Linked DNA regions of Macaca fascicularis. The protein of the gene in region 1 binds, or shares a complex with, the protein of each later gene. Links are inferred from orthologs where the notes say so. Each region holds a gene or a part of one and is shown on either strand. Other genes may lie near its edges.

Evidence for each region. The genes of interacting proteins can lie anywhere in the genome.
Region 2: the proteins of PTPRG (region 1) and CNTN4 are in contact, whole or in part, in a crystal structure (PDB 3KLD), measured with the Mus musculus proteins. The link is inferred for Macaca fascicularis from reciprocal best matches to the Homo sapiens genes PTPRG and CNTN4. Residues at the interface, in NP_033007.2 of Mus musculus: Lys222, Val225, His226, His227, Lys229, Phe288, Thr290, Gln293, Asp294, His295, Val296, Lys297, Ser298, Val299, Glu300, Tyr301; in NP_001103219.1 of Mus musculus: Thr128, Arg129, Ser130, Val132, Ser133, Arg135, Gln138, Gly139, Met140, Val141, Leu142, Leu143, Cys144, Gly145, Val219, Met220, Gly221, Glu222, Tyr223, Glu224, Pro225, Lys226, Glu228, Leu250, Asn304.

The regions. Positions count from the first base shown.
Region 1 is NC_088376.1:124,649,031-124,653,276, reverse strand, and holds the start of PTPRG (receptor-type tyrosine-protein phosphatase gamma), read right to left. Parts: upstream 2,856-4,246; 5' UTR 2,134-2,855; coding exon 2,049-2,133; intron 1-2,048.
Region 2 is NC_088376.1:141,285,965-141,289,527, forward strand, and holds the end of CNTN4 (contactin-4), read left to right. Parts: intron 1-1,234; coding exon 1,235-1,335; 3' UTR 1,336-3,391; downstream 3,392-3,563. UniProt on the Homo sapiens protein: Contactins mediate cell surface interactions during nervous system development. Has some neurite outgrowth-promoting activity. May be involved in synaptogenesis.

The DNA of each region.
Region 1 (4,246 bases):
CCTCGCAGCGTGGGCGCGAAAAGAAAATGAGAAGACGAAAATGGTCCAAGCCCCACGAAAGCACGCTCCCTGGCAGTCCCATTTTGGATCTCAAGCTTCCTCAAACACCAGTGAAAAGAAAACCACAGTCAGCCCACTGACTGCATCCCCGAGCGCAAGGACAGAAGTGGAATTGGAAATTCCTCTAATTTGCAAGTCTGTCCTCCACGGCCTCCCATTGCATCCATTAAAGAGTGGCCCTCACAAAGCTCAACCCGTGTGCACCTGAGCCCGCTCAACCGGCAAGTCCGTGGTAAACCAGGGGAGACTAGCAGGGGGAGATGATTAACCCAAATAGTGAGCAGTAGTCTTTAAGTGAATGAAGGCAGCTGTTTCTAACGGGAGGTGTCCCCAAGGCCTACACTACCGTAGAGGGAGGACTCCAGTGGGCAAACCCCCAGGCCCCAAGGTGAGTGTGGACTGCGTTTCTGGGCTGGAGCTCCGTGCCGCTCCGCAGGCAGGAGGATGCGCAGAGAGAAAAGAGGGTGCAGAAGACAAGACGGTGCTTTGCCTTTCTGCCCCTCGAGGCCATCCCCGACTCTGCAAAGGGGGCATTCGCTGCCAGTCCCCCGAGAGGGATCCCCGAGAGCGACGAGGGCTCCCGCGCCCTGCTCCACGGCGCACGACGGGACTAAGGGACCCGCTGCACCAAAAACGGGCGCTCCAGCCGCCCGGGGACAGGCGGCTGTAACCAAGCAGAGCGGAGACCTCGAGGCACGTTCCTCTTTTTCTTGATTCAGATAACCTCCACCTCCGGGTATCCAGGAGCTGACGAATGAGAGGACAGAAAAACGGGGAATTCTCTGTCCTTAGGGGAGCGAGGGATGAAAAGCCAATCGCCCCCTTTCTTCCAGACCTTCCCCGGGCTAGGGCAGGACTTGGCCTCCACCCCCAGGGAGGGAGCAGGACAGCTACGAGGGAGTTCGGGGCTGCTGCCCAGGGGAGCTGCAAGAGAGGAGAGGGAGGCAGCTGGCCTCTGCCCTCCCCAGAGGAGAGAAGAGGGGGCTTGCCAGCTGAGGGCTGGAAGTGGAGGGTCGCCGAGCCTCACACCGTTACGTGCGGTGATTTATTCTCGTTATCAATGGCCAATATTGTTCCTGTCTTAACCTGGCCAGAAAGGGGCGGCTCTGGGGCTGCCAGCCGCGAACAGCCTGCAAAAGGGCAAAGATGAAGGTAGGCAAGGCGCGCGAGACAGGAAAAAATCCGCCCAAGCGCGAACTGCAACCCGGCCGCCGACCCGCCCCCGCCCCCTCCCCGCGTCCAGACCCCGGCAATCCAATCGAGCAGAGCAGCGGAGGGAAGGGGCCACGGTCGGGGCTAGGGGAGACACGGATCTCCCCTAGTCGCCTGCGCCCTGCCCTCTCACTGCACCCAAGGAGGCTGCCTCACGCCGGCACCGAAGGGCTGCCCGCGCCCCAGCCCCGAGAACGGGGGAGGGCGCCCCCGACCCCAGAACGCAGGCTGCTCCCCACATCTTCAGTCCTCCGCGGCCAGCCTCCGACTTCCATTCCCCGAAACCTAGCCTTCCCAAAGGGGTGGAGAACAGCAAAGCAAACCCCCACCTTCTGAGCTCCTTCAATACCCGCCAGAGCGAGGGGGCTCATCCCGGGTCCCCCAAAACCCACAGAAGCATCCTTTCCATGGCCTCAGTCTCCCCAACCGCCCTACAACTCGAATTCTCCCGATCGGCGACGAGTCAGCAAAGGAAATACCCCTTCCTCCCGATTCCAGCTCCCCAGGCCCCCCAAAACGGAACGGGAGCAGATCCCCGCGTCCCCCAGCCCCTCCCCGGCCGGCCCCTGCCTCCACCTTCCTCGACCACCAGCCAGCCTCCCTAAACAGCGCCCAAGCCAGCGGAGCAGATCCTTCTCTACTCCCCGGGCGCCGGGCCACCCTCCACCCTCTCCAGGGTCTCCCGGACGGGCGCCGGAGGTCCGCGCCCAGGCGACAACTCTGCATCCCCAACGCGCGCCGGCCGGGGCCGCGTCCCCTCGGCGGCCGGCACTCACCGGGGAAGCACACGACATAATGGAGCACGGAACTGGTGATTTTCAGGAACAAAATCCACCAACACGGTTCCAGTAACCTCCGCATGTCCGAAAACGCACATCGAAAAGAGGAAAGCAGGGGGATAAACTTGTTGAATAAGTTCTTGCCTCCGTGCGAGCCTCCGCTAAGCCGGGGCGCTTCCCCGGCTCGCCCGCTCCACGGGCCCCCCGCGCTCGGCGGCCCGAGTCCCCTTGGAATCCGGGAAGCCGCCGAGCGCCCCCCGGAAAATCTCAAAAAGTGACCGGGAACGCAGAGCCACGCTGGGGACGATCCTCTCGGCGGAGAAGGGCTGCTTTCCGTTCAAAAAGGAGAGAGCCGAGCGGACAGGGCGCGGAGTCGGCGGCCGGCGGCGATGCCCCGGGCCCGGGGCAGGCAGGGACCGCAGGCGGCGGCGGCGGCGGCGAGCAGCCGAGGATCCCCAACTTGAGTCGGCAGCGCAGCACAGCCCGAGAGCCGGCGGGCGGCGGCAGGGCTGAGCGCGGCGCGGCGTCTCCGGGCTTCAGGCAGGCAGCTCCTTCCAGGGCCCCGGGAAGGAAGGAGGCATGTTTGCGAGAGGGGAGGGGAGGGGAGAGGCGGGGGGAGCGGAGAGCCCCCCAAAATAGAAACGGCCGGAGGAAACGGAGGAAAACACAAAGGATCTCAGAGGGGCGCTGGGGCGAGGGCGCCTTCAGTCCATGCTCCTGAAAGTTGTGGCTCCGGCGCAGGCTGGGGAGGAACGAAGAGCGCGGGGCTGGAAACTGGCCATGCCTCCATACAGGAAGTAACATGTGAGCATGGATCCTGGCAGAGACTTTAAAGCCGGCGAGCGAACGAGCGAGCGAGCAGGGGGCGCGCGGTGGTGGCGGGGGCGCGCAGCCCGGGCCAGCTGGCGGGCGCGCGCTCTCCGCGCTCTTAAAGCAGCCGCGCTCGGCTCCCGCCTAGCACGGGGTCCCTCGGCTCCGCTCTCTCCGCGCGGCACCGGTGGCTGCGGCCTCTACTGGGACAGTTTGAGGACTGGGGGCGATTGTAGCCCGTGCTCGGAGAGAGAAGGGAGGCTGCCTTCTGGAGCCGGCGTGTCTTTTGCAGGATTCCCGTTGTTTGAGCTCTTAAAAGACGCCGCACGTTGCTCGGGTTTGGCGAGATCCCCCGTCCGCGTAGCTCGCGGATCCCGGGCCCCTGGCCCGGGCGCGGGGAAAGGCGGAGGGCGGACAGCTGCCTTTTTAAAGCGATGGGGTTTCCTGTTCGGCTTCACCTCCTGGCAGTTGCCGCGGTGGGGCTCACCCGTCCGCGGCCCCTGTTCGCGCCTCCAACACAGCGCATTCCCCCGCCGGGAAACAAAGCCGAGCGGCCTTTGCACTCCTACTACGTTGAGATTTAATTTTTTTTTTTTTTTTTCCTTTTCAGGCTTTCATTGGCCCAGTCCAAGGCTGGGGAAAGTGGGGGAGGGGAGGAATATCGAACCCAGGATTGCGAAATCTAGCCCTTCCGAGCCCCACATCTCCTTTCTCCGCGCCACGATGGATCGGTGGCGGAGTTTCCCCAACTCACAGCTTCTCTGGAGAAGGTTCCCGCACCCCGGCTTAGCCGCGGGGAGAGCGCAGGAAGTGCGCCTCTTACCCCCTGCAGGGTGAAAGCATTGCCGCGGGGCTGTACTGATTTCCTGGCAGCCACCCGGGGAGCTGCTGCTTCTTTAGCAATCTGGGAGAGGCGTCCGGGGGAAATGGGAGGACTAGGCTTATCTGTAATGAGTTTTGTCCCTTAGCTCTCGGTCAGAAGATCTTTATCGCTTAGACTTCTAAGCGCCCTATTTTACATTCTTACGCTGGGGCTAAAAGTGGGGGAGGCGGGCTTTTGATTAAATGTGTAACTGAGCCAAGGTAATTAGCCGATGGAAAATTTTTGCCTAGTTTTTCTGCCCGTGTTTCAAAGCGATCTTGACGTGGGATTGTTTTGTTTTCTGACGGAGTCTCGCTCCGTCGCCCAGGTTGGAGTCCAGTGGCTCGATCTCGGGTCACTGCTACCTTCGCCTCCCGGGTTCAGGCGACTCTCCTGCCTCAGCCTCCCGAGTAGCTGGGACTACAGGCGCCCGCCACCACGCCCGACTATTTTTGTTGTTGTTGTTGTTGTTGTTGTTGTTTTGTTGGTTTGTTTGTTTTGGTAGAGACGGGGTTTCACCATA
Region 2 (3,563 bases), about 17 Mb from region 1:
CTGGAGATATAAATTTTCAAGACATCGGTAAAGAGATGATATTTTAAATTATGGACAAAATCCTCACCACCATCCTGACTTTTAGTCATGTAACATCCCTCTGCTAAGGGGTGATAGGCCAGTGTTTCTGGATGGAGTTTATATTTACTGCATTTTTTTTTTTTCATACAAACACAAAAGGCATTTTTGTCTTAAAAGCAGGGACAAATGGATTCTACACTTCATCAAACAAAGCCTCTAACTTCTGTTGAAAGGGAGCCAGATTTTTGGTGAGATGTGGAAGTAATCTCCAGGCCATGAAAATACAAGACTGGGATTTATTTATCTCACTTCATTAAAAATCTGACTTTGTACTTCATGCTTTCTTATCATTGCAGGGATTGGTATTTTTAGGTAGACTGATGATTCCTGGTTTTATTCATTACAAAAACATATATTAAGCAATTATATTGGTGTAATTATTAGGTAACAAGGAAGTGACTGTGAGCCAAACATGATCTGTTTCAAGGAATTTTTCATTAGGTTGGTCAAAGAGATCTTACAAGATTGAAGAGCCCCCGAATGACAGTTGATAGCTTCTTACTATGAAAAATGTAAGACCCATAAGAAAATGTAAAAAGGATTGAGGCTATTTTGTTTGGAGAAAAAGGGTAGATTTAAACAGACATGGGTTTGAACCCCAGTTCAGCCATTTACTAGCTGGGTGATCTGGGCACAAATTACCACATCTGTTAAGTGAGGTAATAATACCTAGCCTTCATCCAGTTTTTGCAAGATTTAAGTGTCATATTCATCTGTGCCCAGCACAAAGAGTTCAAAAGGGAGTAGCAATTTTCGCAGAGTTCAAAAGGGAGTAGCAATTTTCATAGAGTTCAAAAGGGAGTAGCAATTTTCATAGAGTTCAAAAGGGAGTAGCAATTTTCATTTTGTTGCATCATTGACGTGGCATGGTATCTATCAGTACTGTTACTAGTAATATTGAAGTTTCTTCTCACATTAGATGGGAACATCCTTATTTTACAAATGCTTTGACAGAGGTACAGGGCTGTCCTCTACCCTACTCGCAGGTTCGTAGCTAGATAGTCATAGAACTGATATTTAAAAGCCATTAAGATCTTAATCATCATTTCTAGTAGAATCCACGCAGTTCTGCTGTTTCAGAAAGCCCCGTGGCCGCTCTTCCCTTTGAAGCCAGGATGGGGCTGTTTTGAGTGAATTTGTTCTCTCTTTTCAGATGCCTACGCAAGAGGATCCGGGGCTTCCACTTCGAATGCATGTACGCTGTCAGCCATCAGTACAATAATGATTTCCCTCACAGCTAGGTCCAGTTTATGACAAAAGTTATCTCAAGGACTTGCTGTTTATAATATAAGCAACATTTAGCTAGTTGTTTTGAAGACACCCAGTACTAAGTAATATTGTTGTTCAAGTACATCTTATTACTGGAATAAAAATGTTTTTTGCTTCTTTAGGAATGGCATTATACAGTACTTCCTCAAAGCAAATCTAGCTTTGTCTGAAGTTTCTTTGGAAACTCTGCAATGCACTGAAGACATCTGTAATATGATGTTACCAAAGCAGTTTACATATGTCCTTATATGCATATTTTTTATTACATATTTAGTGTTTTATAGAATTTTTTAAAGTTAACACATAATGTAGATATTACTGTTTTTCCTCAGCTGTAAAATGCTATGGACAACACAATCATGCAATTATAATTTGAAAATATTTCCTTTAAAGACAGAGTTTGAAACTCATCTTGGCAAATAAATTGCAAATTACTTGTACAGTTTTACAAGGATCTCGTGGCAGAACAGCTGAAGACTTGGTCTATAACTCAAGGCTGCTGTATGCAAATTACTCTTCTAGTGGTTAATGCATTGAATCAAGTCCTTTTGACATGTACAATATGTTCCCCATGCCGTTGTGAATTTTGTTGTTCAATACAACTTGAGATGGTTTCAGGAATGGCTGCAATCTCAAAAGCTAAATTTACTGCCCAAGAGGCACCTTGTGCAATATTCCCATCCCTGAATTTAGCATTGTACAGTAAGATTTTCTTTTCACTCAACTAAGTTAGCATTGTCTTTGTAGTAGCACTATCTTAGACATTAAATTTGAAGTAACATATATCCTGTAGTAACATAGACCAAAAGTTACTATAGTCAACCAAGTCTTTCAAAGGATAAAAGATAATTTTATTATCTTTAACTGTATCTATTTTGAATGTAAATTTTAAAAAAAAGTAATTCTCTGTCAATGGATTCGTAATTTCTTTACAAAATTTCTTATATATAATATGTGTATCTCTGTAATAATAGAGCCCTTCTTTTGAATCAAAATTACATATGGAGTTTGGAAGATTTCTCCTATTTCAACAAATAGTTGCTGCAAGAATTTTTTTTTTTTTTTTTTTTTTTTTTTTTTTGAGACGGAGTCTGGCTCTGTCGCCCGGGCTGGAGTGCAGTGGCCGGATCTCAGCTCACTGCAAGCTCCGCCCCCCGGGTTTACGCCATTCTCCTGCCTCAGCCTCCCGAGTAGCTGGGACTACAGGCGCCCGCCGCCTCGCCCGGCTAGTTTTTTTTTTTTTTTGTATTTTTTAGTAGAGACGGGGTTTCACCGTGTTCGCCAGGATGGTCTCGATCTCCCGACCTAGTGATCCGCCCGTCTCGGCCTCCCAAAGTGCTGGGATTACAGGCTTGAGCCACCGCGCCCGGCCAAGAATTTTTAATATGACTCTATAAAAGATCTTTAGTACAATGGTATGGTTTCTTGATGATTCTGTTTTGCAATAGGTAGCCTAGTTGCTTTATATACTTTACCTTCTAACTCTTAAAATCACACATTGGAAAATGACAATATCAACAAAACTGTATTCTTATGAAAAGAACTATTTGTTACAATGGGAAAGGTTTTGTAAGCAAACGCTAGTGGAACAGTGACATAAAAGGCAATGAAATTTTCTATAAACATTTTCTCATGTAAACATGCTGCCACCTTTTCTTCTTTCTCAGAGAACTCAAATCTGCTGTAATTTGTCATTTTTGCTTACAAATAATATAACTTTTCAACCTTCTACTTATATTTATCCAATAAAGTCATAATCAGGATTCCATTTGTGTAAAAACTAGGGTGGTAACCGGAAAAAAAATATATTGTCAGTATTTCAAGCTGTGTTCCTTTCTTAGTTTGATATGGTTACTTCTATGTTAAAATAAAATAAAATTTAAAATCACATGCAAAAAAATCAACAAAATAATAAAATGAATGAAAAAAAAATGACACCCAGGGAGTTCCCAACCCCAGTGTAAATGATATTTACCAGTGATCTAGCATATGTAATCTTTTTTAAAGGTATTGTTAATAAATATTCTGTCATTTGTAAAGATACTTGTCTTTTGGGAGCATTTTTCCTGCCTGCCTGTCAGGGAATTTGTTAGCTTACCTTTGTGCTAATTATAATTTGGGATCATAGAGGGACTCAAAAGTCTCTACCCAAATCTAAATGACCCAGAGCTATTCCTTTGGAATTGACAACCCTGAAGACATGATTTCAAATC